4 linked regions of the Diceros bicornis minor genome follow. The protein of the gene in region 4 interacts with the protein of the main gene of each other region in a biochemical or structural test. Links are inferred from orthologs where the notes say so. Each region holds a gene or a part of one and is shown on either strand. Other genes may lie near its edges. The genes, in order: FCHSD2, CYSLTR2, ADRB1 and MAGI1.

What was found.
Region 1: the proteins of MAGI1 (region 4) and FCHSD2 form a complex in vitro, tested with the Homo sapiens proteins (2 studies listed by BioGRID and IntAct, with this or other methods). The link is inferred for Diceros bicornis minor from reciprocal best matches to the Homo sapiens genes MAGI1 and FCHSD2.
Region 2: the proteins of MAGI1 (region 4) and CYSLTR2 interact in a test that uses a peptide from one of them, tested with the Homo sapiens proteins (2 studies listed by IntAct, with this or other methods). The link is inferred for Diceros bicornis minor from reciprocal best matches to the Homo sapiens genes MAGI1 and CYSLTR2.
Region 3: the proteins of MAGI1 (region 4) and ADRB1 interact in a test that uses a peptide from one of them, tested with the Homo sapiens proteins (2 studies listed by IntAct). The link is inferred for Diceros bicornis minor from reciprocal best matches to the Homo sapiens genes MAGI1 and ADRB1.

What each region holds. Positions count from the first base shown.
Region 1 is NC_080746.1:57,687,338-57,694,866, forward strand, and holds the start of FCHSD2 (F-BAR and double SH3 domains protein 2), read left to right. Parts: upstream 1-4,519; 5' UTR 4,520-4,824; coding exon 4,825-4,845; intron 4,846-6,599; coding exon 6,600-6,697; intron 6,698-7,529. UniProt on the Homo sapiens protein: Adapter protein that plays a role in endocytosis via clathrin-coated pits. Contributes to the internalization of cell surface receptors, such as integrin ITGB1 and transferrin receptor.
Region 2 is NC_080748.1:28,486,081-28,493,861, forward strand, and holds the start of CYSLTR2 (cysteinyl leukotriene receptor 2), read right to left. Parts: upstream 3,005-7,781; 5' UTR 2,928-3,004; intron 1-2,927. UniProt on the Homo sapiens protein: Receptor for cysteinyl leukotrienes. The response is mediated via a G-protein that activates a phosphatidylinositol-calcium second messenger system.
Region 3 is NC_080745.1:77,464,154-77,472,108, reverse strand, and holds ADRB1 (beta-1 adrenergic receptor), read right to left. Parts: upstream 3,016-7,955; 5' UTR 2,790-3,015; coding exon 1,398-2,789; 3' UTR 78-1,397; downstream 1-77. UniProt on the Homo sapiens protein: Beta-adrenergic receptors mediate the catecholamine-induced activation of adenylate cyclase through the action of G proteins. This receptor binds epinephrine and norepinephrine with approximately equal affinity.
Region 4 is NC_080741.1:65,066,379-65,073,718, reverse strand, and holds the start of MAGI1 (membrane-associated guanylate kinase, WW and PDZ domain-containing protein 1), read left to right. Parts: upstream 1-4,330; 5' UTR 4,331-4,342; coding exon 4,343-4,655; intron 4,656-7,340. UniProt on the Homo sapiens protein: Plays a role in coupling actin fibers to cell junctions in endothelial cells, via its interaction with AMOTL2 and CDH5. May regulate acid-induced ASIC3 currents by modulating its expression at the cell surface.

The sequences.
Region 1 (7,529 bases), on a different chromosome or scaffold from region 4:
TGTCACAACCATGTGACTGCCAGCTCCTACTACAGCCCTGGGACTGGCTGTCCCCTCACGCCCACCCCAAGTTGTAACACTCCCTGGCCGGGGCACCAGCTGACCAGGTAATTCCCTGACCCCGTGTCTGCCTCTCAGGGACTCACCTCTGGCCTTAGACCCCTGCTACCACCTGGTGGAATCTGGGTCCCTCTGACTCCTAGGCCCTGCATGTCCTGGACTCACTGCTGTGACCTTTGGTCCACGTGTTAAGCTCAGGAGCTCCTGGAGTGCAGGGCCTGGGCCTCACCCCAGGGACCTGCTTACAGCTGAGCCGAGAGATGCTAGATGGAATGGTCTAGTTCTGCCACAAACTCACTTTGTATCCTAGGGAGAGCCCCTGCCATCTTCTGGTGGTCACCGATCTTCCTCAGTCCAGCGGGCTGTGATTCTCTGTCTTGAGAGCTTACTAGTGGAGAAGACAGGCACATTCCAACACTAGGCTGACCAGAGGGATGCGTTGAGGGGATTAGCTCAGCCAGGAGCAAAAGCGGGTATGTGTGTTTGGTGGGTGGAGGTGCAGCGGGAAAGGCGACTAGGGTAGAAGGGAGATGAATGGGCTTGGGGTCCACAGACTGCATTGTCTGCAGCAAAATCCCTAGCTAGGCTCGCCAGGGCTCGGGCAGGGAACAGCTGGCATCTGGATGGGCTGACAGGTATTCCTGAGCAGACTGTACCAGTGTGAGTTGGGATAATGACAGAGCAGGAAAGGGAATAGAGTGGGCTGTGAACAGAGCTGCAGAAGGGTAGGGAGGTGCCTTGGTACAGTATGGACAGATGGGATGGTGATCACCTATTCCTGGAGAGAACTTGTCCTGGGTGCTCACTCTGGACCAGGGTGGGGTGCTGTTTACATTCTAGCCACACTCAATGGCTGCTGCAAACTTTGCCTCTCTGGGGTTTCTCCTGGGAGCCCTATGGAATATTGGAATAGTTCATCTTCCAATGCCCGCTCACATACCCGCTCCAGGCCAGCTTCCAATCCTGGCTCTGACTTAAACTTAGAATAACATTCCTTCTGGGAGACTGCACAGCAGCACGCATGCTGGAGGGAGAGCACAGCTTCAGAGCCAGAGTGAGCCAAGGGCCAGGCTTGGCTCTCGTCGTGTCCTAGCTGTGTCACCTTGGGCAGGTCATTTCATTTCTGAGCCTCAATGTTCGAAGTTTGTGAAATGGGGTCATATGTATAATGAAGGGTTGTTGTGAGGGTGAGAAACAATGTAAATAACATGCCTAATTCAATGCCTGAAATATGGAAGAGGCAAAATAAATAGTAGCTTAATATTAATTTCGTCCCAGGGTGAGAATCCCATCTGTGGCCTCCTTGATGGAAGGAAGCCAGTACCTGCTCCCACAGCCCCAGGGATGGGGGAGCTCACCCTCCCTAGGGGCGGCTCTGCCTGGAAAAACTCCTTTCTTAGATGCAGCTGAGACCTGTCCCAGTTCTGTCTCTAGGGCCACAGTGCATGCTTCTCTGCGGTCATGGGACAGCTCTGTGGCATTTCCCCCAAAGAATCGCAAGAGATCTTACTGGGAACACAGTGCTTGCCTGCACTGCAGGAGCAAAGCTCTGGAAGTCCCCAGCCTGGTTCGAAGGGGTACATTTTAAGTCAGTCTTACATAAGCCACAGAAATCCCTTGCCCCATCCCTGTCGCATTTGGAACATATGGATTGCATCCTCCTGAGTCTGCTTTTTTCCTGGGTGAACTCTTCCAATTCCTCTGAACATTCCTCATAGATGCAAACGGCAGAGCTGGGTTCTGGTCCCAAATCTATCACTTCACGGCAAGTCACTTATCTTCACTGAGCCCCTAGTTCCTCATTTGAAACATGAAGAAAATCCTCTCTAATAGGATTACAGTGAAGATTAGGTCAGAAAAGTAATATGAAAGTTTGGGGTTTGGAAAAGCACTTAGTAAATATTAAACATATTTTTAAAACACCACATTTTTGAAAAAGGAGTTAGCTGGTGAGCCCATCTGGTGTTGCCCCTTAGCTTTTTATTACACCTCCAAAGGAAATCATTCCAGAAAATCACTGCCATTCCTGGTTTCAGAATAATAGCAAATCAGGTGGAAGATGCCCTCCTAAATCCATAAAATAAAGCCCCAGGGACTGACTTTATCTGTGAAGAGCCTACTAAGTTCCAGGCTCACTCACTCACCTTATTTTGCATTTGAGGACCAAGGCTCAGAGAAGGCCCAGCAGATCAGTGGTAGAGGCTGGATCCCATCTCTCAATACCCAGCACCTTTATACCCCAGGGCTCACTTCCAGAGGGAAGATAATCTCTGGGCCAGACTAGTTGCACCCAGGACTAGGATTCAGCAAATCTTTGTTAAGCATCTCCTATGTGCAGGACACTGCATCTGGGCAACCATTGTCACCCCTCCCACACTAGCCCAATGTCATTCATGGAACAGCTGGTCTGGAACTCAGCCTTGGTGAAGCCCTCAGCTAATTTGGTCTTGCTCACTCCTGTATCCCCACTGTCTGGCACAAGGCTTGGCACAAAGCAGGACCTTAGCAAATATTTTTTTGAATGAATGATGAATCAGTGAGTATTTATTGAGCACTGACTATGTGCCAGGCCCTGTGGTAGGAGAAACTCCATTTAATACAACAAGTCTGCGAGGCTGGTATTATATTCCCATTTTACAAGAGAGGAAATAAAGGCTGAAAGAGGTGAACTGACCAGCTCAAGGCCTCGCAATGACTTGGTGGTGGAGCTGAGACTGGAGCCCAGTCTGGCTACCTCTAGCCTGAGCTCCAGCTGCTGGCCCACAGCTTGCAGAGAGCTGGGCCTCTACCCACCTGTTCCCTTGCCCCAGGCCTTCTCTGATAGTAACTGTGGACTCTGGTGAAGGGCCAACTTTTGAATGGCCTCAGGGAAACCAGAGATAGCAAGCCTGGCCTCCCAGTTCACACACAGCTCTAGATTAATCTGACTCAAGCATACCTCTGATTCTATCACCTTCCTGTACAAGAATCTAGGCTAACTCAATGTAAACAACCTTGGTTCAAGTTCAACCTTCCCAATTTCTGGCCATCTGGTCTTAGGCAAGTTATTTGGGTCTTTCCAGGCCTCACCCACTTTCCTCTTTTGCCTCACTACACTTCTGAGAACAGGTGTCTGGGACCCCAACTTCTGATAAAACTTTGGGGAGATCTAGTTCACCCTCCACACAGCCCTGTGGCTTCAGAAGAGGTATTTTCATTTTTCTATGGACTCCAAGGGAGGCTGATACCTCGCCCCCCAAGATGGTCTGGTCAGAGCAGGAACGTGGGGTGGGGGGAGGCTGCCTGGACGAACATCCTCACGGGCAGATGAGGAAGCCCGAGCTCACCCAGCCAGTCGGGGACAGGCAGAGTGGACTGGCACCCAGAGGTCCTGACTCCCAGATAAGGGCTTCCTCCATTGCCCTGCTGCCTCCTCTCCTTTTCCTTATGGTTATCATCTGCACCTGTTTCTTTATAACCCATAGAACACTCCGTGACGCAGAGATTCTAGTCCTGCTCCGTGACCTTGCCTCCCAATCTGTGAAACAGAGGCTCTGGCCTTAACGACCTCACGGTTGCCTTCCAGCCGAGTCCGTGCTCTTTGACTTGAATGCCCTGTAGCAGAGAGCCGTTTTTTTCTTTGCAGGGCAACTAGACCCCGCCCCAGGCCCCTGCGGCCGACTGCGAAAGACTTATCTATGTCCGCCCCCTCTGTGCTTGTCTATCTGGCCGGCTCATCCGCTCAGGAGAAAGGTGTTGCAGGACAGAGAAGCAGCAAAAAACGGAACTCTCCTACTGCCATAGGCATGCTGCCCCCCTCCCCATTGTAAAAACTTCTCTCCGAGCGTCTCGCCCCCTACACACGCATACACACACAAACACCGCAGCTGCAAAAGCCGGCGGGAGGCGGGGGCGGCTTGTGCGCGTGCGTCGCCGCAGAGCCCTCTCCCGCCCACGTGCGCGCCCCCGACGGGAGGCGCGCGCCGCGGCGGGCAGGCGGCAAAGCGCGCGGGAAGCCCCCGGCCGGCTCCCAGTGTGGGGGAGGGAGGACAGAAGGCGTTTGGAACGTGCCACTCTCGGAGAGAACGGGGGGACTTTCGTGCTCCGCTAGCATTTCTACTCCTCCCATTCGCCGACAGATCCGTTAGTTCCCCCAGTCCCCCGCCGCGATACGGAGCCCCGCGCCGTGGCCGCGCTCCGTCCCGTTGCCTGGCCCGGCCCCTTGAACCCGGCTCGGGTCTGAGCTGTCCCCTCGGCTGCCGGAGCGGGGCGCTGCGCCGCGCGGCGGGGCCGGAAATTCCCGCGGCCTGAGCAGAGGGCCCGAGGCCGAGAGCGCGGCGCCGGCTTCCTCCTCCGGGGGCCAGGCGGGGGCGTTGGGCTCAGCGCGGGCGGGGCTCCCCGAGTTGGGGGTGGGGGGGGCCGCGTCTGCGAGGAGCCGGCGGCGGCGGCAGGGTGCCGGACGACGTCGCTGCTCCTAGCGAGCCGCTCGGCTAGCGGGGAGACCCTGCGCCCCAGCTCCCGGGCCCCCGCCCCCTCGCGGTCTCCGCCTCCTTCCCTCACACACCCCCGGGCCGCCCGAGCCCAGGCCTTCGCGGCGCTCCGCCTCCTTCTCTTCACACTTGCTCTCCGACCCGGGTCCTCCTGCCGCCCGCCGGCCTTGCTCCCTCCGGGGCGAGTCCTCGTTCCCAGGCTCTCCTTTCACACACGCCCGCTCGCTGGGCCGCCCCCTCTCCTCGTCCTAGCTAACGCCGCCGTCGGGGGGAGGATTGATGTCCCTTCAGCATCATGCAGCCGCCGCCGAGGAAGGTGAGGGTGTAGCTGGGGGGTTTTGGGGGGATGCATACGAGGAACGCGGCTGGGGCGACCGCTGCGCCCCTTCCCCCCTTTCCGCAAGGGGCCTTGACCGCTGTCGCCTCGGGCTTGTCACCGAGTTGCCGCCGGCTCCAGGCGGGGGGCGCGAGGGTGAGGTGCCTTTCCGACGGAGGGGCGGCCGGGGCTCGTGCCCTCCACCGCGCGGAAGACCCCCAGACGTTTCACAAGAGTTTCGGGTGTGCATGTGTGTGTGTGTGCACGCGCATGGCAGTGCTGCTCGCTGCAAAGTGCATTCTCGGGGCTGCACCGAGGGGAGGCGGGGGAGCCCCTGCAGCTTTGCAGAGCCTTGTGCTTGTGTGATTGTTTAGTCTGCACCAGGTTTGAGCCCTCCAGCTGCTTGTTCATCCTCTCCCATTTGCAAATTTGTAGGGAATTTGTTTCAAGCCTAATCTTAAGGTTTGGCCTGCTTTTCCCACGGGGCGGCCGAAAAGAAGTTGGAATAGCTACCGCCCTTCACCCCAGGGGAAAACAAAAAATTAAGCATTGATCGGACCTGCCTTTCTCCCACTACTCCTGCCCCCCTCTCCGGCTAGGTGCGAGGGGGCGTTGGTGCTGCCCCTGGACAACGAGAACCAGGCAGTGCGTGGCGTGTGCCCCGCGATCTGGGTTTGGGGTGGGAGTGAAGGGTGCGCTGGGCTTGTCAGCAGCTTTCTCGCTGCGCCCTTCGAGAACTGTTTCACTGCCCGCTTCCCCAGCTTTCTCAGGGGCTGAGGCTGTGTCCTTGTCTTTTTAATCCTGCAGATGGTGACTGAGTGTCTACTCTGGGCGCTGGGTGGAGGAGACTGTTCTATCCTCCCCTCGTGGGCAAGGATATGCTGAATGTCTAACTCACTCGTGTCTGTTTCCTTTCCTTTCTTTCTTAATCCGGGTTTCTCCAGTTAAGTGAATCTTTTTTCTTTCACCCACGTACCCCCACCCCTCCGGGAAGCCTGGCTCCGGCGGCGTGGATTCCAGGCCCACTATGACCTGGAACCCTGGGGTCCGGGCCTGGCGGGCGAGGCACTGGCCAGCTTGCCATTTGCTCTTCTAGCTGTTTGAAGTGGAGCCGCCACGGGGACCGGCTTGCTGGGGTGGCTTAAAGGCACCGCATATGCTGGAAGGTCACTTTTGCTTTCTCCTTTGTGAGAAAGAGCTTCTGATTTGATGCGCTGTCAGCGAGTGGAGGGCATCATCCTGAGACTGTGTGCTTTCTCGCAGCCATTATGGAATAATTTATGTAGTCGATTCATGCATATAATTTCATGATTGTGTAAATTTCGGTCATTAGATATTAGGCATTCTTATGTTCCCTTCTCCCACCTACACTCTGCTCACTTCTCCTGGTGTTAATGTCTTTGAATCTTTTTTGGAAGAAAAAGAAGGCAGACTTTTACAACTCTGAGAAGACTTAGATATGTACTGAGCTTGTGCATGAAATGGAATGACTGGCAGTTTATTTTGCACCTCTTGAATCTGTAATTTATATACTCGTGTACTTTCATTTAGCCTCTGTTTCAGGTTATTTGGCTAGTTTTTTTCCTTAAGTATCTTCAGTAAACAAAATTAGTTGGCTAATAATGAATTTATGGTCTTCAGGGGAGAGGTGAGCAAGAGCTATATATTCTGACAAGTTTAAATATTTTCCTTAAGTAAGTTTTTTTGTTGTTAAAGTTGCAGTAAGGCCTTCATAAATATATGGTGTATTTTAGGTGAAAGTTACACAAGAACTGAAAAACATTCAAGTTGAACAGATGACGAAACTTCAAGCCAAACATCAAGCAGAATGTGATTTGCTTGAAGATATGAGGTAAGGTTATAGTAAATAGTTGGAGAAGTTCTGTATCTCTGTTTCAAAGAATCTTCGAGTTACCAAGCTCCGGGAACTGATGATGGAATTTCCTTTTGGATTTCCTGCTTTAAGGCTGTTAGAGCTTTGACTCAGCTAGAAATTATAACTGGAACTAACACAATACAAACTTTTTTTCCTTTAGTGGAAGAACCTATAACGTACACACACTATTATGAAAAAACAAGGGCCTTTTTCAGTCAAATTGTAATCATGGAAGTAGAAAGTCTTATTTAAATAATCATTCCACTGAATTGTAACATTTATTGACCTTAAGGATTTCACACAGATTTTTAAACTGCCTCTGGTTAATGGTTAATATCTGGGGGTGAGCCAGTCAACCTCAGATGATTATATACTAGCACTGTTTTTTAGAACATGACGAATATAACTTTGTCTTTAAACATTATATTTAGTGGGAAATGTGTTTATCATATTTTTATCATTAAAGTTACCTGGATTCATAATCAAGATAACTTTGAATTTGATAGGTAAGATATCTTGCCAGCATTGTGAAAATCAGTATCTTTCTTTATAGAGGGAAGCATGACTCATTTTATTGAAAGAAACGCCACTTATTTTATTTAACAATCCTGTAACACTGACAGTTCAACAAACATATTTTTGGAAAGGATAGAAGATGATTTGCGTGTTGAAACAGAGTGGCTGCAATTCTTATATCCCTTTAGTAAATACATTTATCAAATTGGAATTAGGTCTGTAAGCCTCATCACTTGCCTCTTTTTTCCTGCGGTATACAACTTCATGTTGGTTTCATGAAAAATATTAACTG
Region 2 (7,781 bases), on a different chromosome or scaffold from region 4:
ATACTAAAAATACTCAAGGTGATCCTGACACATAGCAATGAGTATGTTGCAAAGATATATCGTCTTTCTTCCAAAATGAGTGTTGCTTAGATGATGAGGGTACGCCGCATGATCCCAGATGGATAGGGAGGCAGGATGGTATAATGAATGAGAACATGTGCTTTTGAGTTAGAACAGACCCAAGTTTAAGTCTCAGCTCTGCCTCTTGGTCACTCTTATTACTTCACCTTTCTGAGCTTCAAAACACTTATCTGCATAGGGAGGACTAGAGTGAGTATTGATGAAGAAAATGGATGGGAAGTGATTAACTTGGTGCCCTGACACTTGGTAAGTTTTCAGTTGATGCTAGCTAACGATAACAATAAGATTTGAGACAACAATGAACAAAACTCATGGGGAATTAAATGGGAGGATTCTGTGTGGCCAAGTAAAAGGAGTTGGGACAATTTCATCTGAAAAGAGCCAACCAGAAAGACAAGAACAATTCTATTTAATTTACTTTACATTTTTACTACACCAGTAGTGAATGTTTATGGTAAAAAATAACAAGGTAATATAAGCTGAAATAAACTTAAATTACAAGATTTACCACCAACCAGACATATCTGAATTTTTGTGCATTTGCTTCCTTTCATGTTTCTTCAAATATTTTTAAACAAAAATGAGTGTCTATAATAATGCTGTTTTGTACCTTGCTTTTTTCTTATCACTGTATCATGATCACCTTTCTGTGCCAATTAATAAACATCATTGTCATTTATTTATTTATTTATTTTTGTGAGGAAGATCAGCCCTGTGCTAACATCCGATGCCAATCCCTCTCTTTTTTGCTAAGGAACATCGACCCTGGGCTAACATTCGTGCCCATCTTCCTCTACTTTATATGGGACACTGCCACAGCATGGCTTGACAAGCGGTGCGTTGGTGCAGCCCGGGGATCCAGACCTACGAACCCTCAGGCCACCGAAGCGGAGCGTGTGTGCACTTAACCGCTGTGCCACCAGGCGGGCCCCAACATCAACGTCATTTAAATGGCTAAAAGAGTATTCAGTTACATAGACATAACAAAATTTGTTTCAATAAATTTTTTACAATAATTATCATCCAAGTTGTAAGGAAGGGGACATGTGCCCTGGGCTCAACCAGGGCCAATTCTGGTTCCACTTTAGGAAAGATCCTATGTTCCCTGGGCCTCACCTTTGCCAGCTGTAAAATAAGAATTACACCCTCCAGCATGCAGGGCCATTATGTGGGTCAAATGAACTACTGTATGTAAACGAGTTTTGTAAATAGTGAAGTACTATGTGAACAGTTAGGTTCATCAAGGAAGGTGCTAAACAGATATTCTCCACCACTGAGTCAAAATAAGGAGAAATTTCGTTAACATCCTCTTGATCAAGTTAGGTTGATTTAAAAGAAGTACATCCCTGCTGTAGGCTATGCAGCAGCAGAGGCTTTGACTTGGTTTAGCTGCCTTTGGTCTATTCTCAATTCCTAATTGGAAAAACCAGAGCATAGCTCTGGTATAAACTCTGTCCACTCTCCTTCTCGGGACATGGGGTCCAGAAAAGTAAGTGCCATGTCTACGCTCCTGGATAGCCAGGATAATCCACTTGCTGCCTCCAAATCCAATCCCATCAGTCTTTGCTCTGCCTTTTAATATTATTAAAATTCATACCTATTAATAACATTTAATAGCAGCTATTAAATGCTCACCTTGTGTTTGATCCTTGAAGAGTTTGCAAATGAAAGGAAGTCTGGCTACCTTGGCAGGCTACTAACAGATGCTAGGCTTAATTTTGATACATTTAGAACATTCTGGACCCTCAACCTCTCTAACTTCTAACCACCAGAAAATGAATCCATCTCTTTAAAATATTAGTAAATTGAAACTCTCAAGTAGATTCTCATCTCAAGAGTTTATGTGGTTGAGATGAATGATAGAAATTTCTAGAAGTCTTACATTTCCCACAAATTACTCTTGCATTATTTATATAGCATTGAAAGGTAGACTTGAGTGGCTTGCCTGAAAGTGTACCTCCCTTCCCTTAAGATGTATTACTCTCAGGTATGTGTCAGAGACAGAAAATATTTCAAATAACCTAGATTAGACGTTATTATACTGGCCACCCATTTGAACCACCTGGTAGATTTTTGAAATTAAAAAAAAAAAAAAAACTACAGATGACTGACTCATCACCAAAAGTTAAGTTTCAATTATTCTAGGGGTAATTTTCTAATCTCCTCAGAATCAGTTGATTCTAAGTGAATCTATAGCCAGAGTTGAGTACCGCCAATTGAGGTCCCAAAGGGGTAATAAGCAGATTACAAGCACACACTCTTTCCCTCTCATTGTGCCTCTGAGTAAAACCACTGAAATCTGCATTCTCAAATTCAACCTCCTCTCCCCAAAGAACAAGACCCTGAATGGAAAAAATATAAGTTACACAATCAAATGACCCAGTCTATGAAAAATAGGAAAGATGCTATATGGCCCAAAATTGGAGAATGCTTGGCTAAAGGATAGTAAATCTCCTCAATGCAATATCATGCAGCAATTTTAAGTTATGATTATAAAGAATTTACAGCAACGTGGAAAAAATTTATGCTTTAACGGAAAAAATAAATTATCCATACAGTATGAAGACAACTATGAAAATCAAACTAAAATCGTATGCAGACACACAAAAAAGAATGGAAAGAAATACCCCTAAAATATCAATAGAGGCTAGCTCAGTGAAGGTTTTTGCTTCCTTCTACTTTTTTGTATTTTCCCAAGATTTTTTAAGCTATTGTGTATTTAGTAGAAAAAAATTTATAGTAGAACAAAATAAATCTGCTTTTCAAAAACTGTTCTTCTGACTATGAAGGAATAAGCAAAGGCTTATTCATCAATGAATTCACAAAGCAAAGATAAAAATGCTCACCTGAAGTTTTCTTTCTTTCAGCTGCCTTGGCTTCTGTCTCCTCTCCCTCTCCTGTCCTCCTCCTGCAAGTAATTCAGCTTGTTTCTTTAAAAGAAAAGTGAAACAGCAAATTATATATTATGAACAGCGTCAGCCAATAGCAAGAGAGTAAGGAACTTTGGTCAGCAGGTCAGCTGTGCTTTATAGAACTTGGTGTGGGTGTTGGTGCTGGCTTCCTTCTCAAGAAGGGGGGAAGATTTCCAGTTAGGGGCTACATCTGAGAGGAAGAAACCTGCATTAGCCCTGCCGCTCTAATGACTGTTTTTATTACCGTCTTTCACAACAGATCAAGGGGCTGTGATGAGCTAGAGTCAGGGGTTTTAAGCGGCTTTTAGTTCTCCTAAATGGTTTCTGTTTCCATGACAACAGTCACATCAACACCGCTTTACACGGACAACACTTTAGAGCTGTTTAGAGCACTTCCCGTTACCCACTAGCCTTTTCCAGGGACTTGGTACTCAGGGGGACCCTTACCCAATCTAGTGAAAATGCTCTGTCGAAGATTCCCAACAACCTCCTCATTGCTCAAGTAAAAGGTCCTTTCTCAGTCCTCATCTTCTTTCCTCAACTTGTTGCACGGTTAACCAATGCCACTTTCTTGAAACTTTCTCCCTGTTTCTCTGAGTCTCCTGGTTCTTTTTCTACCTCCCTTTCTGATACCTCTTCTTCCACCCCTTTTCTACATGTGAGCTTGCCCCAAAAGTTTGTTTTTTGAGCAGTTCCCACCGTATTCTCTTGCTTTTATCTACATTATCCACATCCACGACCATATTTAATATAGCCAAAACAGAGCTTTTCTCTTCCTCTCCCAAGCATACACTCCCCCATTTATTCCATCTCATCAAATGGCACCACAATGATTCAACCAGTTAATCTGTCCATAAACCTAGAAGTCATCTTTAACTTCTCTATTTCTCCCACAACCAACATCCAAGCCAACAATTCCATTTGTTCTACCTACAAAATATGTCCAAAATCCAATCATTTCTCACCTTCCTTATCCCCATTAAAATCCCCATCATTTCTTAGATAGAATGATGTAGTAACATCAGGCAAGAAATAAAAGTCATCCAAATTGGAAAGAAAGAAGTAAAATTATGTCTGTTCACAGATGATATAATCTTTTATGTAGAAAATTCTAAAGATTACACACACAAAAAAAAACCTGTTAGAACTAATAAACAAATTTGGCAAAGTGACAAGATACAAAATCAACACACAAAAATCGGTTGTATTTCTATACACTAAGAATGATCAATCAAAAAAGGAAATTAAGAAAACAATTCCATTTACAATAGCATCAAAAAGAATAAAATACTTAGGAATTAATTAACTAAGGAATTGAAAGACTTGTACACTGAGAATAAAACATGGCTGAAAGAAATTTAAAAAGACGTAAAAAAATGGAAAGATAGCCCATGTTCATGAATTGGAAGACTTAATATTGTTAAGATGTCGAAACTACCCAAATGGATCTATAGATTCAACACAATTCTTCTCAAAATCCCAATGATGTTTTCTTCAGGACTAGAAAAATCTATCCTAAAATTCATGTGGGATGTAAAGAGACCCCCAAATAGCCAAATCAATCTTGAAAAAGAAGAACAAAGTTGGAGGACTGAGACTTCCTGATTTCAAAAATTACTACAAAACTACAGTAATCAAAAAAGTGTAGTCTTGGCATAAAGACAGATAGATAGCCTAATGGTATAGAATAGAAAGTCCAGAAATAAGCCCTCACATATATGGCCAAATGATTTTTGACAAGGGTGCCAAGGTCATTTATGAGAGAGGACAGTCTTTTCAACAAATGGTGCTGGGAAAACTGGATATCCACATGCAAAGGAATAAAGTTGGACCCTTACCTAACATCATATACAAAAATTATCTCAAAATAGATCAAAGACCTAAATATAAGAGCTAAAACTATAAAACTTTTAGAAGAAAACAGAGGAAAGGCTTCATGGATTTGTCAATGATTTCTTAAATATGACACCAAAGGCACAGGCTTTAAAACAAAAATAGACAAACTGGACTTCATCAAAATTAAAAACTTTTGTGTATTCAAGGACACTATCAACAGAGGAAAAGGGCAATCCACAGAATGGAAGAAAATATTTGCAAATCACATAGCTGATAAGGGATTAACATCCAGAATATATATAGAACTCCTACAACTCAACAACGACAAAAACAAACAACCCAATTAAAAAATGGGCATAGGATTTGAACAGATTTTTCTCCAAAAAAGATACACAAATGGCTAATAAGCACATGAAAAGATGCTCAACATCAAAAATTATTAGAGAAATACAAATCAAAACCACAGTGAGATATCACTTCATACCCATTAAAATGGCTATTACAAAAACAAAAACAAAAAACAAGAGTTGGCAAAGATGTGGAGAAATTGGACCTTTGTGTACAGCTGATCAGAATGTAAAATGGTGCAGCCATTATGGAAAATAGTATGGTGGTTTTTCGAAAATTAATAACAGAGTTGTCCTGGGGCTGGCCTGGTGGCGTGGTGGTTAAGTTTGCGTGCTCTGCTTCAGTGGCCCAGGGCTTGCAGGTTGGGATCCCAGGTGTGGACCTATGCATCACTCATCAAGCAATGCTGTGGCAGCATCCCATATACAAAAACGGAGGGAGATGGGCACAGATATTAGCTCAGAGCTAATCTTCCTCAGCAAAAAGAGGACTATTGGCAATGGATGTTGGCTCAGAGCCAGTCTTCCTCACACAAAAAATAAATAAATAAAAAAAATTTAAAAAAATAGAGTTGTCATATGATCCAGCAATTCCACTTCTGAGTATATATCCCAGAGAACTGAAAGCAGGGTCTTGAAGAGATATTTTTATACCCATGTTCATAGTAGTATTATTCACAATAGCCAAAATGTGGAAGCAACTCAAGTGTTCATTGATGGATGAATGGATAAGCAAAATGTGATATAAACATACAATATAATATTATTCATCCTTTAAAAGGAAGGAAACTCTGACATATGCTACAACATGGCTGAATCTTGAGGACATTATGCTAAGTGAAATAAACTGGTCATAAAAAGACAAATACTGTATGATTCCACTTATACGAGATATCTAAAGTAGTCAAATTCATAGAGACAGAAAGTAGAAGGGTGGTTGCCGGGGCAGAAAGGAGAGGTAAATGAGGAGTTATTGTTTAATAGGTGCAGAGGTTCAGTCTGGGAAGATGAAAAAAGTTCTGAAAATGGATAGTGGTGATGGCTGCACTACAATGTGAAGGTACTTAACGCCACTGAACAGTGCCCTTAAAAACCATTAAAATTGTAGTTTGTCTTATGTATATTTTACCACAGTTTTAAAAAACAAATAATTAAAAAAATAAATTGGAAGAAGTCTAAAAAAAAAAAAAAGAATGCTGTAGGAACATCCTACCTAATCGTCTTCCTGTCTCCACTCTTGCTGTTCTACGGTCAAGTTTGTTTTTTGTGAGGAAGATCAACCCTGAGCTAACATCTGTTGCCAATCCTCCTCTTTTTGCTGAGGGAGACTAGCTCTGAGCTAACCTCTGTGCCCATCTTCCTCTATTTTGTATGTGGGTTGCCACCACAGCATGGCTTGATGAGCCATGCGTGGGTCTGCCCCCGGGATCCAAACCTACGAGCCCCGGGCCACCAAAGTGGAGCGTGCAAACTTAACCACCATGCCCCGGGCCAGCCCCTACAATCAAGTTTTTAAGGAGTAAATCATATCATGTCTGTCCCCTGCTCGCAACTCTGCAATGACTTCCCAACTTTCTCAAAAGAAAAATCCTTATCACGGTCTACAAAGGCCAGACCTGCTCAGCCCCTGCTACGCATCTCTACAACTTCATCACTAGCCGTGAGGACTTCCCTGCTGCTCCTCCAGGCACATGTGCTGGAATGGCCCTGAACCCTCACTCCCTCACTTCACTGGGGCCTCTGCTTAAATGCCGCCACCTCAGAGATGACTTCCCCAGCCTCCCTTTCAAGAAGAGCTCCCCCACACACACTCTATCCCCTTACCCTGCTTTATTTTGCTTTATAGTGCTCATCACCATCACTCCTTCTTCTAATATTGTATATTTGTTTGTAAATTATTGGATTCCTATGCTATCTGTGCAGACTTCTCAGACTCCCTGGGGTTCTAGCTGGAACATGGCCACCTCAGAAGAGCTGTTAATGCTGCAGCTGCCCTTGTTCTCTTCCCACGCTTAGGCCTGTGGACACTCCAGCCTTCATGTCCATTTCCTCACCCTGCAAATTGCCACCTTTGGCCACCGCTAGGACATAGAGCTACACAAATCATATGTTCCAACATATCTGAAGAAGAGGCCACACAGCCCTTGGGGACACTAGGTTAGGGAATTCTCAGGTATCCCGGACACACTATAGACAGGGCAGTGGGGATGGGTGGTGGGCATACCTCTTTGCCCCACAGACTCCCGCCCCCTTGGGACAGGAAGGGCTGGAGGAGGACCAGAGAGGGGTCCTCAAAAGCATGGCCCCTAGGGCAGTGACTCCTCAAGCCCAAGTCTACTAGTGGTTCCGCCTTCGTAGTCCCACCCCAGCCTCTCTTTCAGGTCACATTTCCTCTTAGTGGTCCTCTTATTCCCAAGCCTTGCTCCAGTCAACCTGAACTATTTGTTGATCTCCAAAAATAGAAAGCACTATTTTAGGGCCTGAGAGGAGCACAAAATTGTGAGAAGTTTAGTTGTGCTGGATAGAAAATAGCAAATGCTTCCTTGAAAATAAACAAGGAAGGCTTTGTTTGCTTTGCTTGTAGTTTGTTTCCTGGATCTATAAC
Region 3 (7,955 bases), on a different chromosome or scaffold from region 4:
AAATGCAGCCTATACTTTGAACGAAACAGTCTTCCATTGTCACTGACCCCTTACAGACACACGGTACATAATCTTGATCGTGCTTCATTGGTATTTATTGCACATGGACCAATTCCTCACACAGTAGTTAGTTGCACCAGAGTATAAATACTTGGTAAAACACAGAGGAAATAGAATTTACACACAAGTGCGAAATTTTACCAGCAGATTCATGTGGGCACTTGGACATAAAAAAATAATAAAAAAAATCCTTAAGATAATTATATTTATAATATGGATACAGTTACAGTACCATGATAAAAGAGTATAAAAAGCTATTTTCCCAATAAATCATTAGCTCAATAACATAATAGACAACAGAAGTAGAGTTTGAATTTTATTTTAGTTTTCAAGATCTGCACCCACCCCTCCCACTCCCGTAAAAAATATTTAATTTCTTTTTGTGCAAGTAACATCTTCTGTGGACTTTGCAATTCCTAACACTGTGCAAAAATGGCATTTTGAACCACTCCTTTTTTTATGTTTTTTGTTTTTACCCACATGTGCAGTAATCTGAACTGTTTCTACTTTTTTTTTTCCTTTTTCTGTCCTGTCTTCAATGGACAGAGTCACATGTCACAGAGGCTCGGCGCCTGGTCCTTCCAACTAATATTGATACATAAATAAGCTGTTTAATATAAACAAGTCTTTCTATCGTGCTGTGCAATGTGCACAGTGTGAGGTAGACACCCCTTGGCCTGACCTCCGAGGCGCGTGGGGACAGCAGGCTTGTCCTACAAAAGGAAAGCAAGGTGAGGCTTGTTCCAAGAATAGCTTAAAATTTCTTGAAACGTGATTTTGCATCCATCCTTTCCCTTTATTTTAAGAACAGGAGAAATCATGACTCAGGAATTAAAATGAAATTTTTCTGGAAAGCAAAAGGAAACACGTCCTGACCAATGGTCATCGCCCCCTCTCTCTCCGGCTGCCTGCTCCTGTTCCGAGAATGGGATGGAAGCCAGGTTGACAGACTTTTATGCCCTGATGCTTCTCCCCCCTACCCGGTCCTCGCAGAAAGTGTCAAAAACCACCTGGAAAAAAAAAAAAAAATCTAAAGATGCATCACACGCACACACAAAAGATGACCGAACCACAAGCAGAAAAAAGAACCCAAGAAAGATAAGCAAGCTACTCTCCCACCCCTCCCAAACTTTCCTTTTTGTGCAACGGTCCGTGGCTCTTCTGTTTGTCTTGGATGATTCAGACGAGGTTTGTGGGCTTCGAGTTCACCTGCTTTCGGTCTTGAGTAAACACAGATCTCTCTCCCCTGGGAAGCCATTCAGGGGCGCCCGGGCTTTCTTCCTCCCGGGGCGCAGAGCCTGCGTCCCGGCTGGGGAGGTGGGGAGGGACGCCGGGCCCTACACCTTGGATTCCGAGGCGCAGCCCGGGCGGCTCGGCTCGTCCAGGCTCGAGTCGCTGTCCGCCGCCGCCCCGCCGTTGCAGCCGGCCCAGGGCTCCAGCAGGCGCGTGGGCGGCGCGGCCCCGATGTCGTCGTCGTCGTCCTCGTCGTCCGCCCCGGGCGACGGCGGCGGCCCGGCCACAGCCAGGCAGCCCGAGGCGCGCGCCCGGTCGCCGGCGGCCGCGTGGCTCCCGCAGGCGGCCCGGCGCGCGCAGCAGAGCAGGCGCTGGAAGGCCCTGCGGAAGTCGGGGCTGCGGCAGTAGATGATGGGGTTGAAGGCCGAGTTGGCGTAGCCCAGCCAGTTGAAGAAGACGAACAGGCGGTCGGACACCAGGTCGCGGTGGAAGGCCTTCACCACGTTGGCTAGGAAGAAGGGCAGCCAGCAGAGCGTGAACACGCCCATGATGATGCCCAGCGTCTTGAGCGCCTTCTGCTCGCGCAGGGCCACGAGGCGCGAGGGCCGCCGCTTGCTGGCGCGCCCGTTGGCCAGCTGGGCGGCGGGGCGCTGGGGCCCCGGCGAGGGCGCGGGCGAGGGCGGCCGCGCGGGGCCGCTAAGGAAGCGGCGCTCGCAGCTGTCGATCTTCTTCACCTGCTTCTGGGCCTCGCGGAACACCCGCAGGTACACGAAGGCCATGATGCAGAGAGGCACGTAGAAGGAGACCACGGACGAGGCGATGGCGTAGGCCCGGCTGGTGACGAAATCGCAGCACTTCGGGTCGTTGTAGCAGCGGCGCGCCTCGTCGTTCTCTGCCCGCCACCACTGCATGAGGATGGGCAGGAAGGACACCAGGGCCGAGATGGCCCACACGGTGCACACGAGGGCCCGCGCCCGTGCGCGGGTCAACAGGCTCTGGTAGCGGAAGGGCGACGTGATGGCGAGGTAGCGGTCCAGAGCGATGACACACAGGGTCTCGATGCTGGCCGTCACGCACAGCACGTCCACTGAGGTCCAGAGCTCGCAGAAGAAGGAGCCGTACTCCCAGCGGCCCCACACCACGATGGTGGCCCCAAACGGTACCACCAGCAGCCCCATGACCAGATCAGCGCTGGCCAGGGACATGATGAAGAGGTTGGTGAGCGTCTGCAGCCGCGGCGTCTTGGCGATGGCCACGATCACCAGCACGTTGCCCGCCACGATCAGCAGCACGATGAGAGCCATCAGCAAGCCCATGCCCGCCGTCCACTGCTGCGACAGCGGCGCGGGGCCCTCGCTGGTCGGGGTCAACAACGAGGCGGGCGGCGACGCGGGCACCAGCAGCCGCGCCGCCGTGGCCGCGCCGTCGGGGAGCGGCGCGGCCGACGACAGGTTGCAGGGCTCGGAGGCGCCCAGGGCGAGCGCCCCCGCGCCCATGCCGAACTGCGGAGGCCGGGGGCGGGGGGTGTGGCGGGGCTGGGCCGTGGTTGGGGAACACCCCAGAGGCCCGGGCGGCGGGGCGCGCCGAGGGAGGTCGCGGCCAGGTCAGGGCAGCCGCGGCGCGGGGCCGGAGGCATGGGCGCCGGGCGCCTTCCCCGCCAGAGCCGAGCGCTGTCGCCGCCGCCGCCGCCGCCGCTGCTGCTGGAACAGCTGCCGGGACCTCAGCATGTTTCTGAGCGCGCTGAGCCCGCAGACCCGGCACCCAGCACCCACTCCACCCAGCTCGCACTCCCCCAAGCCAACCCCCGGGGCCTCGCGTCAGGCTCGTGCAGCCAATCCCGGCAAAAGGCACGCCCCTATCTAGTTCCCCACCAACTCCCCGCACCACCCTCCCACCGGCAGTTCAGCGGCTTGGGGAGTCCGGGACCGGTCGGCGAGCTAGCGCCTCCCCGGCGCCCACGGTTCCTGAGCGCGCGCCCCTTCCTGAGCCCGCTAGTTCCAGCGCCCTGTTCTCCTTGGCCCGCGACTGCGCCCGGCTCCCACTCGCGTCCCCGCCCCCTCCTTCGGCCCCCACTCTCTCCTGCACTCCGCTCTCTCCTGCACTCCGCTCCCTCCTGCGCCCCTTCTGCCTCTGGCGTTTAGCTCCCTCCTGCGCTCCCGCTCCCCAGGCATCCCCTCTATCCCCAGGGCGCAGATTCCCTGCGGAGCAAGGCGCGTGGTCCCTTTAGCGGAGAGGGGACCTCGGTGTTCTCGAAGGGCCAGAGTGCCTTGGACAGTCTGTCCGCCGGGGTTGGAGGAATTTGGCTGCCAGATTGATTCTCGGATGGGGTAGCCTAGCAGAGTGTGTGTAAAACCCTTCCTCTGTCAAGAGGGGACCCAGCCAGGCTGCGTCCTGCCAGCTCCGGGGATCGAGCTGATCGGAGGCGGGTGTTAGTGGGTAGAGGAAACTTTCCAGCAGAGCGCCTTGCTAGAGCAAACCGCGCATCTGTCAGGAAAGCTCTCTGAGCACTGTTCTTGCAAGGAGCTTCTGTTGTTCCGGCGCGGTAGATGCGTAAAGGAAGCAAAGGTTTGTGCCTCTGACAGCTAACGCTGAGGATCAGTTGGAAAAACACACACTCCCCAGTCCCAGCTAATGAATGTGTGAGTATGATGCAACAGTGTGTGTGGATAATATAAAGACAGAGACTTAAGGAAACACAAATGTTAACGCAGAGTAAATGACACCGCCGCGAAGAAAGAACACGTTTAATTACATTTCGGACTTTTCACATTCAGTGATAACACCTATCTTTTGTGTTTATTCCTCACCTGATTTTATAATTTGAGCTAGGTCAATACAAACAGGAAGGCACTGTTAATTTTGGTTGATGTAATGAACTGAGATTTCAGATTTCTTGATCTGCTTGATTGTTTTCCCCTTTGCCCAAGTTCCTAGATTCTCGAAGCTTTAGGCTTAGTTTTGGAGAGATGAGAGAAGAAAATATGTAAATACTAAAGAGGATTAAAATCCCATAGCATTTAAAGTTGCATCAGTCGTTTTTGAGTTGGCAAATGAATTGGTTTGAAATTAGTGAGTCATTAGCCTAGTTGTTGGTGGATTATATGTGCAAACTGACCACGGGATAGCCACTAGGAACACCCGAGGCGGCAGCAGGACTGAAAGCGCCTCCTCTAATTCCACCTCGGTAAGGTTCTCAGCTGGACTTGAAAATACAAAGCCTTTTTTTTTTTTTAAGTAATTAATTAATTTATTTTTTAATTTTTTGTTTATTGCAGTAACATTGGTTTATAACATTGTAAAAATTTCAGGTGTACATCATTGTACTTCTATTTCTGCATAGATTACATCATGTTCACCACCAAATACTAATTACAACCCATCACCACACACATGTACCGAATTATCCCTTTCACCCTCCTCCCTCCCCCCTTCCCCTCTGGTAACCACCAATCCAATCTCTGTCCCTATGTGTTTGTTTATTGTTGTTATTATCTACTACTTAATGAAGGAAATCATGCGGTATTTGACCTTCTCCCTCTGACTTATTTCACTTTGCATTATACCCTCAATGTCCATCCATGATGTCACAAATGGCTGGATTTCATCGTTTCTTATGGCTGAGTAGTATTCCATTGTGTATATATACCACAGCTTCTTTATCCATTCGTCCCTTGATGGGCACTTAGGTTGCTTCCAAGTCTTGGCTATTGTGAATAACGCTGCAATGAACACATGGGTGCATGTACCTTTACAAATTGGTGGAAAATACAAAGCCTTTAATTGAATCCATGAGAAGTAAACAGCTTCTAATTACCCATGTAAGGGTGCATGAAAATGTTATATAATGCTCACACATCTTTCTAGTGTCTTTCTTACTTTGCAGAGAGACTGACTTCCGTAGCTACCCAAGAGCTAAAAGCAATGCCTATTCATTTTATAAAGTCAAGCATTTTAACCACCTTCTCTTACTGAAATGCAAACATGTAAATTTGCTTTAGGCCCAAACTTGATAATCAAAGTGTTACAAGGGAGTAGGAGTGGGTGATTTAGTTGTTTATTCACCCGTGCCCCAGGACTTGTTAACCTAGTTCCGCCAACTTGGGGAGGTGGAGCAAGGACAGGAGAGGGACTAGAAAGAGCGGAGGAAGGGGGACTGCACCCTGAGTTCAGTGTGAGCCTTAGTTACCAGAGTCACTGCAAACCTGTCTCCCCTTCCTCTCCTTTCTGTTCGCTCTCTCAAGGGGCAGTCTCAAAATAGCCAAGGGATTGGAAAGAGCTGAGTCTGATGCTGCCCGGGAAAGGGATTCTGAGTGCTGGGCTGTGTGGGGTGACGTGTGGGGAATGTGGGGAGGTGGCTTTCTATCCGGCGCCATCTTTCTCTCAAGTGGTGTTCTGGAATCATCTGTGCCATCCGTTAAGTGCCCCTGAAGGGCAAAGGGCTTGCATTTCTGTGAACGATAAGGCCAGAACTTGTTTGTAGAGGTTCCATGCAGAGGCCTGGATGCCAGTACCTTTACTGTATGTATAAATATGTATGTATTTGTATACATACGTGTATTTGTATCTGTATGCATGTGTATGAATGCACCATGTGTTCTGGCATGAGATTTGAATTGTCCCCAAACTCTCCGTCTCATTCAGAAATACATCAAATTTCTCTGATATCTGGATAATAAACACATTAAATCATAAATATTCAAACCTAGGTGGTTATTTTAATAAAAGTTCTAACATAGGGCTGTAGGCGTGAAGGGATCCCAGGGATTCTTGGGGCTTTCCTTCAGTCGTACTGTTGGAAATCTTTGGAATAGTCCCTATTTAACGAGAGTTAACTTTCTTTTAAAATAAAATGTTCTCGGATCTCCTGTAATTCGTATATTTTATGGCACCTTTTTTTTTTTTTTGACATTTTTGAGCTAACATTTTTTTGTCCTTAGATAAGGATACAAGATTAAGAAGAAAAGGCGAAACATATCCACTTATACAGGTATGACATGTTGCAAGTGCAAAATGAATGACTCCTCCATTTCACGATTCCCCACTCAAAACTGTTCTTCGGAACCCACGGATGTGACGATAGTTTAGAAAGCAGCAGAGGGCACCAAGAACAAATGCTGTTGAGCACCTCAAGAGGTGATTCCTGACCCTCCTCTACTTTCCCCTCCCACTGCCATCACACCTCAACTTGCCATGGGCCCTCTGATCTCCTGGCCCCTGGTGCTCCTCACTCCGTTGAATCTGGCATACCATAGCCAAGTTAGTATTTCTAAGACACTGCTTTGACCAAGATGCTTTTCTGTTCAGAAACCTTAATGCCTCACCTTGGCATTCAAAGCCTTCCACAGTCCAGTTCCAAATAGCCTTTCCAGCCCTATCTCGTACTAGAACTCTCCATATCACCCTGTCTTGCAGTTCTGTATTCTTTTTCCTTCTTTGGATCTATACTCTTGTTCCTTTTTTTTTTTTTTTTTGCATCTATACTCTTTCTCACTGAGTTCCTTCCACCAAGAATCCCCTCTCCGTCTCTGTCTCAATTGATTCAGCCTTCAAAATCTGGCTGATACCTTTTCTGTTTTACAGTCATCAGTGCCCACTGCTTCTGGAAATGCCCTCTCCTTCTTCTACCTATAGTAGTTACTCTGCTAATGGCATTTCAGGTGGCAATTAATATATTGTCTTTTGGCATCTCTCATATTGTTATTTAATTTTTATATGTTTTTCTCCTCATTTGGATTGTAAACTTACTGAGAGGACTACCCAATACATTTTTATATCTCCTATGTTTACTAATATTTACTTAATATTAATTAACATTAAGCTTTGATTCATAAATATTTAGTGGTTAATTGATTAAAATATTCTCATATTTACTAGTATGAGAAATAATTGAGTGTTCTTGGAGTTACAGTCTTCCCTCATGCTTATAATTTACAGTAATAATTCTTATTCGTATAGCATAGTCAATATTTTCATATAAACGTTTCAAAATACTTTACAAATACAAGATAGGCTCATGAGATAAATAAATTTATATCATACCTATTCAGTAATGAATAAGGTGGGGCATAGGTAAGAGGTTTTCCAAAGGGGCCATGTAAGTCCACATCAGTGACAAGCACTGCATAATCTTCATAAATATTCAAGATGAAGGACCTTTTTCCTTAGCCTTCATTTATGATGCTATATATCCAGGCATTTCTGCCCTGGGAGAATAGCTGATGACTTGAATCTAGTTTCAAGATCTAAATTAAATTAAAGGTCTGCACAGCAGTGATTAATAGGCCACCAGCCCACCTATATTTGTGAGCCAGGAGCTTGGTGAAGACATTTCCATCCTTGAGTTGACTTGACTAGAAAATGAGATAAAAATAAAAGCGAGCAGCCTAACTGGACAACTGCTGGAAGGTAGGCCAAAGGAAATCTGGGGGGAGTTTCCAAGTAAAGCCCCAAGAAGTGTATCAAATCAGTAAGTTAGCAAAATTAGCCTCGAGGCTGATAATTGGTGGCGGGTTTGTTAATCAGAGCTCAAGTGGCTGTTTCTGAAGAAAGATATACAACTTTTCACATAAAGCAATCCTGCTGCTAAAACAGTCACTCAGTGCTAACCAGCCAAGAACAGCCTGCACCCGTGCTGGTGCTGAGGTCATGTACTGGTTTTGCAG
Region 4 (7,340 bases):
AAAGCTTCAGGAAGAAATGTATTTGGGAGAAAGAGAAGAAATGCACATTTTATATTTGTGGCTTTTGTTTTTTTCTTCCCTTTAGTGGAACGAGCTATAGGAAAATAAGATCTTAATTTGTGCTGAGTTTATCATGTTATGGTTTACTTCTCATCTGAACCTACTGTGTTTATTAAGAGTGCATTGTTGAAATGCTTACGCAATAACAGTACAAGGACGTTTGGCACGTCACCTGTACCACAGCCCACAGATCTCCAAACACTTTAGAAATGTTTGCAAATTAATCCTCTTTACATTCCAGTAAATCATTCGATCGTCAGAGCCCACAGATGCGGAACAGGAGATTGGATTCCAGAGTGGAACACTGTATTCCTTCAGATGCAAGGGGGGAGACAGGAGGGTGCTGAATTAGTGTGCATACACTGTGTGGCAGATTCAGAAGCCAAAAACACGCTGTTACCCAAATATGCTAAATGGCAGACCGCCACATCCTACACCCACATAGCACAATGGTTCTGAGCATGGGCTTTGGGTCGTGATTCTGGGTTCACATCCAAGCGTTATCACTTCCAAGCTCTTGAGCAAGTTTCTTTACTGCCCTAGCTTCACTTTCCTCAATTATAAAATCAAGATCATTCATGTAAAATCAAGGTCATATGTACTGCACACGGCTGTTGTGATCATTAATTAAAATAATGCACATAACTACCCTGGCACGCATGATAAGCCTCAAAGTTAGGTATTTTATGGCATTATTTTCCTCATTGGAATGTATTGCCAAAGTCATAGCATAAGTGAGAGAAGCCACAACACTAGGATCCCACTTTACATCTATTCAAGAAAAATCTACTTCAAGACCAGGTAAATATGAGCTCTTTCAGGGAAACAATCTATCAATACCTGGGTTCCAGCCATCAAATCTGAGTGGGCTTTGTGTCAAAGGTCACATATTATACAATTTAACATTACACTTCATCCATGCATGCACGTATTCATTTAACAAGTATGTATGGTGCACACTCCACGCAAGGCATGGGTTTGGGTGCTGAGGATTCAAAAGTTGCATGGGACAGATATGATTTCTGCCCTGAAGTTGCTTCCAGTCTGGGACACAGGAACTGGACCAGGTGAAACAGTAGACAGAAAGGGTGAGGGCAAGAGTGTCTGGAAATTGGCAGTCTTAGCTGCTTTGGAGGTTGCAATTATTTCTTTTATGTTCTTGGATTATAGTATGTCTCTCTATACTGCTCTCCATCCTGCCCTCTGTACCCTTAGGTATCCCTTCTTTTCTTGGGCTTATTGCACTCTAAAATCTGAAGTGTGCTACATTCCAAGTTCTGTCCTCTTCTAGGGACACCTAGAATCCTGGAGAGGGAAGATGGTGCTGCTGCAGTGGGAGGAATCACAAAACACTTGGTCTCACCCATCCACTGGACTCCTCCAGGTGGGAGTGCGAGTTGAGCAGCGAGGTAGGGAACCACTGATTCTTGGCAGGTGGGGGAATTCTTGACAAGCAATCAGACTACTAGAATATAGAGTGGGGAAACGCTCAAGATTAAGCCTACTAGTGACTTGTAGGGAATCTGGGACTCTCCTCTAAGGTGGCATGCAAAAATGCGCACTTTTGTGGGAAGATCACTCAACAAATACTTGAGCATTAACTAGGTACCAGACACTGTTCTAGGAACTGGGAATACATCAGTAAACCAAACTGCCAAATTTCCCTGCCCTCATGGAGCTTACGTTCTACAGGAAGATGTGGACCACAAGCTTATTCTCCATCTCCAAAAGAGTATGTGATACAAAAAATGCTCAACAATCAGGATGCTAGACCTGTGGTACCAGCACCACTTAAGGGGAACTTTAAAGGTACAGATGATAGAGCCTATCTCTGAGATTCTGATTGGCTGGGTCTGTGTTTGGGCTCTGGAATAAACATTTTGAAGCTCCCACTCATTTTGATCCAGTCAAGTTTGAGACAAACTGATTGCTTCTGAGAAAAGAGGCTGGAGATGAAGTTTCCCTCACCAAGAAGAGCCAAGGAAAATTGGCTACTTCCTTCTTTCACAAATACTACAAGGACATCCCAAGAGAGAAGCATCAACATTCTTCACTTATTTTTATTAGCTTAGACTAGCACCCTACAGTGCTTTAAAAATATTTAAATGTACGCCTACATATTTTAATCTTTAGAAAGGTGGGGATGAATTATAATTATCATCATCTAACTTGAAACTCCAAATGATTTCCTAATTCTCTTTCTAAATACTACTGCTAATAATAATGTAAGTTATATGCCACTTTACAAGGATTCATTTTACAAGCTGGGCACTTTACAAGTGTTGTCGCATGCAATACTCCCAAGAACCTTGTGAGGTATTGTTATACTCACAAAACAGGAGAGTAATGGAGGCTCTGAGGGGTCACAGAGCTTGCTCAAGGTCACACAGAGAGTGGACCAATGGGAACCCAAACCGCAAACCCCAGCTCTCACCCCCCACTGCTGCGGCATCCCATCGCTTCTGAATCCCTTCCACGTACCTCCCTTATTTAGCACTTGGAATCTCTCCTGTGACCAAAGATGAACAAACAAGTTATAAATCACTAAGAAAGAGAAATTGCTCGGGAGACTCTACCGCCCAGGCCGATTTGGGGAGTATCTGGGGTGGGCAGCCTTCCTGGTGCAGGCTCTTTTTTAGGTCCGCAGCCCCCAAGTTCGTTCTGCAACCTCGCCGGGACAGATGCTGGCTCTACCCCCGCCCCAGGCCGGCGCCAGAGGTGAAGGCTCTCTCTACACCCACCCCCGGGCTGCGAATTCCGAGAGGTGGCTGCTGCGCCCACGCCCCACCGAGTGCAGATCCCAGACCCGGGGGTGAGCCTTATCTCCCGGCCTCGGCGGGTCCGAAGGCTTCCTGGCTCAGCCAGGAACTTGAGCCCGGGACAGATGACTGGCTCCAGAAGTCTTTGCTGGAAGGGCAGTTAAAAAGCTAGACCCCCTTTTGGGTGGAAGACCCGATCCCCTTCTAGTCTTTTGGCTTCTTTCCCTCGCCTATCGTTTTCCGTGGGTCCTAAAAAGTTCGCCCCAAAGTTTAAGGGTGCGGGTATGTGTGTGTGGGAGTGTGTGACGCTAACAGGGATCCCAGTTAGGGGGTCCAGGGGGCCCCCACCGCCCCCATCCCCCAGGGTCGTAGAGACACTGGCTGACGCCGCTCCAGGACCGGAACCCGCGGACGCAGAGCAGGCGGGGAGCAGACGCGCGCCTCCGGATCAGGCTCAGGGGTATCAGAGGGAAATGTGGCGGGCGGCGGCGGACAAGCCGGGCTGGGTGACCGACAGCGTGGCCAGCCACTGGCCGAGGGCGGTTAGGAGGCTTAGGCCGGCGTGAGCGCGTGCGTGTGTGCGTGAGTGTGAGCGCGAGGGTGAGTGTGCGAGCCTCCCCAACCCCCACCTGTTTGAAATGGTTTTAAAATGCCAAAGCCAGATTGCCCATATATCAAAAGTTGCAAACAGTTGGAGTAAAACACGTGCGCGTCCCCCTAGCCCCAAAGGGATTTCTTGAGTCTAGGACACTGAAAGATAAGCAGCAGGAGGAATAAAAGAGGTGTAAGAAAAGCAGTAAGTTGCCGTCTTCTGAGGGTCGGTTTTAGGACCCAATGGGAAGCACATTGGAATCTCTTCCACTGGGAAGGCGGGGCGGGGCGGGCCGGCCGGCAGGCGGCCGCGGGGCGCATGCGCGCGCGTCTCCTCTTGCCGGCCGCTGCGCTCGGCGGCGCGGAATAGAATGAACTGTAACAAAACAAGCCGAGCCTTTGTATCTGCTTAAAGGGGCCGCAGGCGCTTCCCTCCTGTTCCCCTCCACCCCCGCTCCGCAACCGCGTCTCCAGGGCTCCCAGCAACTGGCTGGAAGGGCTTCCCTCACCCTCAGGAACAGCCCGCCAACGAGGAAAGGCGAGCCAGGCGGGAGGCGAACAGGCGACACCGCGTTTCTAAGAGGCAAGAAAGAAAGGAAGGAAGGAAAAAAAATAACCCGAGCGGCGCAGAGTGGACTCTGATCGGGAGAGCACGGTCGGGCGCCGGAACGTGGACCTAGAGGCGCCGGAATGCAGACAAAGCTCGCGGGCGCTTGTGCAGGGCTCGCGGGGAAGCCCAGAAAGTTTGTTTTATGATGGCTTGAGTGCGCGAGTGTGTGCAGGGGAGCGGGGCTGCCAAGTTTCTCTCTCCCGTTGCGTTACTTGAGGGGAGATGCCTCTCCCATGAACCAGCGGAGGCTTGGGGGCTTGTGCTGTGGGGGGCACCTGTCTCTCATTATTTTTTGGGGGGGGAAGGAGGGGTGTAACTCATCATGTCGAAAGTGATCCAGAAGAAGAACCACTGGACTAGCAAGGTTCACGAATGCACCGTGAAGCGGGGACCCCAGGGCGAGCTGGGGGTGACGGTGCTGGGGGGCGCGGAGAACGGGGAGTTTCCGTATGTCGGAGCGGTGGCGGCGGCCGAAGTGGCGGGGCTCCCCGGCGGCGGCGAGGGCCCGAGACTGGGCGAGGGGGAGCTGCTTCTGGAGGTGCAGGGGATCCGGGTGTCCGGCTTGCCCCGCTATGACGTGCTGGGAGTCATCGACAGCTGCAAGGAGGCCGTCACCTTCAAAGCCGTCAGACAAGGTAGGACGGGACGCGTGTCTGGGAGGCGTCCCCAGAAAAGGGGAGCGGTCTTCGGAGTGCGCTCCCCCCACCATCTCGATTTCGCGCTTTCCTCCTCCGAGCGGGGCGAAGGGGGGAAGTTGAGGCCGTGCGCCCTGTCGTGGTGAAATACGCAGAGTTGTTGGGAGGTTGTGGGTTGTTTGCCCACCTGCGTTGGGAAGAGGGGGTTGGGTTTGCGCAGGGAAGCGGGAGATGTTTCCCAGCCCTGGTTTGCCAACCTGTTATCTCAGCCACCAAGTGCAGCGCAGCTTCGCCTGCGCCTGGAGAGTGGGGGAACTGAGGCAGGGGCAGAGGTGGACGCTTTCTGGGCTCCTTGAGGGAGTGATGCAGCCAGGGGAAACTGCTGCGTGCTTTTGCCACTTGTCTGTTTCCAGACCTGGACAATGGGTATGAACGAGGAGAGGGTCTTGAGTTATTGAACCTCCATCAGAAAATCGGCTTCACCCTGCACCCCTCCAGGTGGGTTGGGGCCTGACTGCCTGGCGGTTCCTAAGCCCGCGGCCTGAAGATCCTGCATTCACCTTACAGCCAGATGACGCATGTGTCTCCACCGTGTGGCCCAGCCCCGGGCGTGGGGGGCGGTGAGAGGGGGTATTTCTTAGCGCAAATCAAGCCCAAGTTTGTGCTGCCACCACCATCACCACCACCATCATTGATGATGATAATGGTAGCTGCTATTCACTGTTAGCTTCCTGCGTGCCAGGCTCTGTGTCAAATGCTTTGCTTGCACTCCCTTGTTCTGATTCACAGTTCTGAGAGTGAGTTGTTCTTATAAACCCCATATTACAGATAAGGAAACTGGGACTGGCGTTAGTTAAGTTGCTTGCCCAAGGTCACACAGATACCAAAAGTGAGGGTTTGAGCCCTTGCTGCAGAGCCTTAAGCACTGAGGAGGTGGAGGTAGGGGGATGACCCTGGGGGATTGGAGGGGCTGACTCGTGAGGAGGGAGTGGAAGCTAATTTCTCTCTCTGAAGCTTGTAGAGGAGTGATGACCTCTATGGTGGCTGCTGGTGGTGGAGAGTCCCTTATATCTCAGTTTGGTGCAGGCAAGTGGCTGTTTCTATGTCAGTCCAACAGAGAAGGATTCGATTCCATTAAAGGGATCACTTGTAGGACCAAGCGTTATGATGCATCTTCGCCCGCATGAAAGCACCAGAGGAGGTGGCCAAGTTGAAAGCACCAGAGGAGGTGGCCAAGTTGAGCGTGGTGAAAAGTTCCCATGTGTGCCTGCAGGCCTGGAAGGGCAGTAGCAGCTAGAGGAATGTGTCAAAGGACAGGAGGGCTGGGCTGGGCTGGGCTGAGCTGAGCTGAGCTGAGCTGGTCTGGTCCTCCTGGAAACAGGCCTGTTCCAGATGCAGCGGAGGAGGGGGCAGGGAGAATTGGGCCTTTTAGTAGGTTTGGGAGCTGAGGAGCTGACAGTTATGGAAAACTCTTTCCATTTATGTCTTCATCTTCCACTTGGACACCTCCTCCAAGAAGCCCTCCAGCATCCTGCCACAATGAACACGCCTTCCTCCTCTGGGCTCCCCTAGTGTGTACCTTGTAGTTTTTTACTTGCTCTGAACTGTGAGTTAGGTCCCTTCCCTCATTTCCATCCAAGGTGGTAGGCTCATTGAAGGGAGAGGCTGTGCCTCATTCACTGCACATCTCCCCAGGCTTTGCTTGAGGTCCAACACCTTGACTCACCTGAGAATGTGTCCTCATCTGTAAACTGCCTCTTCCGTGGATAATACATAAGCTAATAAGTGGAAAGTGCAGAACAGAGCCTGGCACATGGTAAATGCTCAATAAAGATGAGCTATTATTGTTATGTTTAAACTGAATTTGAGCAGTTATTTATTTCTAAGTGTAGCTTTATTGTCAGGAACCTGCATTATGAATTTAATGCCAGTACCTGGATTATTAGGACTTGATAGAACTGTAGAGAAAATACTGTGTCAAAGCATTTGATGGGAGCAGCTACGGTTCCCAGTTCAGGGGCATTTTGGAGAAAGGGCTGGAGGAAGGACAGCAGGGGTACCTGCTCATCTAGTGGGGAGTCTACTGGTGTCTAATGGGTCCTGTATGGGGACTTGTTTTCAGTGGGCATGAAGCTGAATGTGGCTGATCCTCCTCTTTCCACCAGTTATCAAAGATCAGGGAGGCGTTGTCCCAGGGCTGCCTCATCATGGAACTTAGGAAGGTTGGTCACATGATCAGGTGTGTTTGGAATTGGACACCTCTGGGTTAGAGGGAAACTGTGCTGTCTCCAAGTGTAACCTCCCTTCACCCAGAACTATTCTCTGTGCTTCACAGGAGTGTTCATAGCAGGGGTGTGTGTGTGTGTGTGTGTGTGTGTGTAAATCTACTTGTTCTCCTTGTAATAGGGTAGAATAAAGATGTGGATGGGGACACTTGAATGGCCTGGAATCCACTACAGTGTGAAAGCTACTGTTTCATGTAATAATTAACCTAAAATTGTTGGCTCTTCTGACGTCTTTATTAAAGAAAGATGGCACTAGAAAGCATGTCACCAGTCGTCTGTTCCCTCTTTCATATCGAGAATGTGATTTAAAGTATACGACAGAATTGATCTTCCTGTGTCTTCATTAGTGTCTTAATTTTAATCATATTAGCTAGGCTCATACTTGGTACATGGTAGAGGA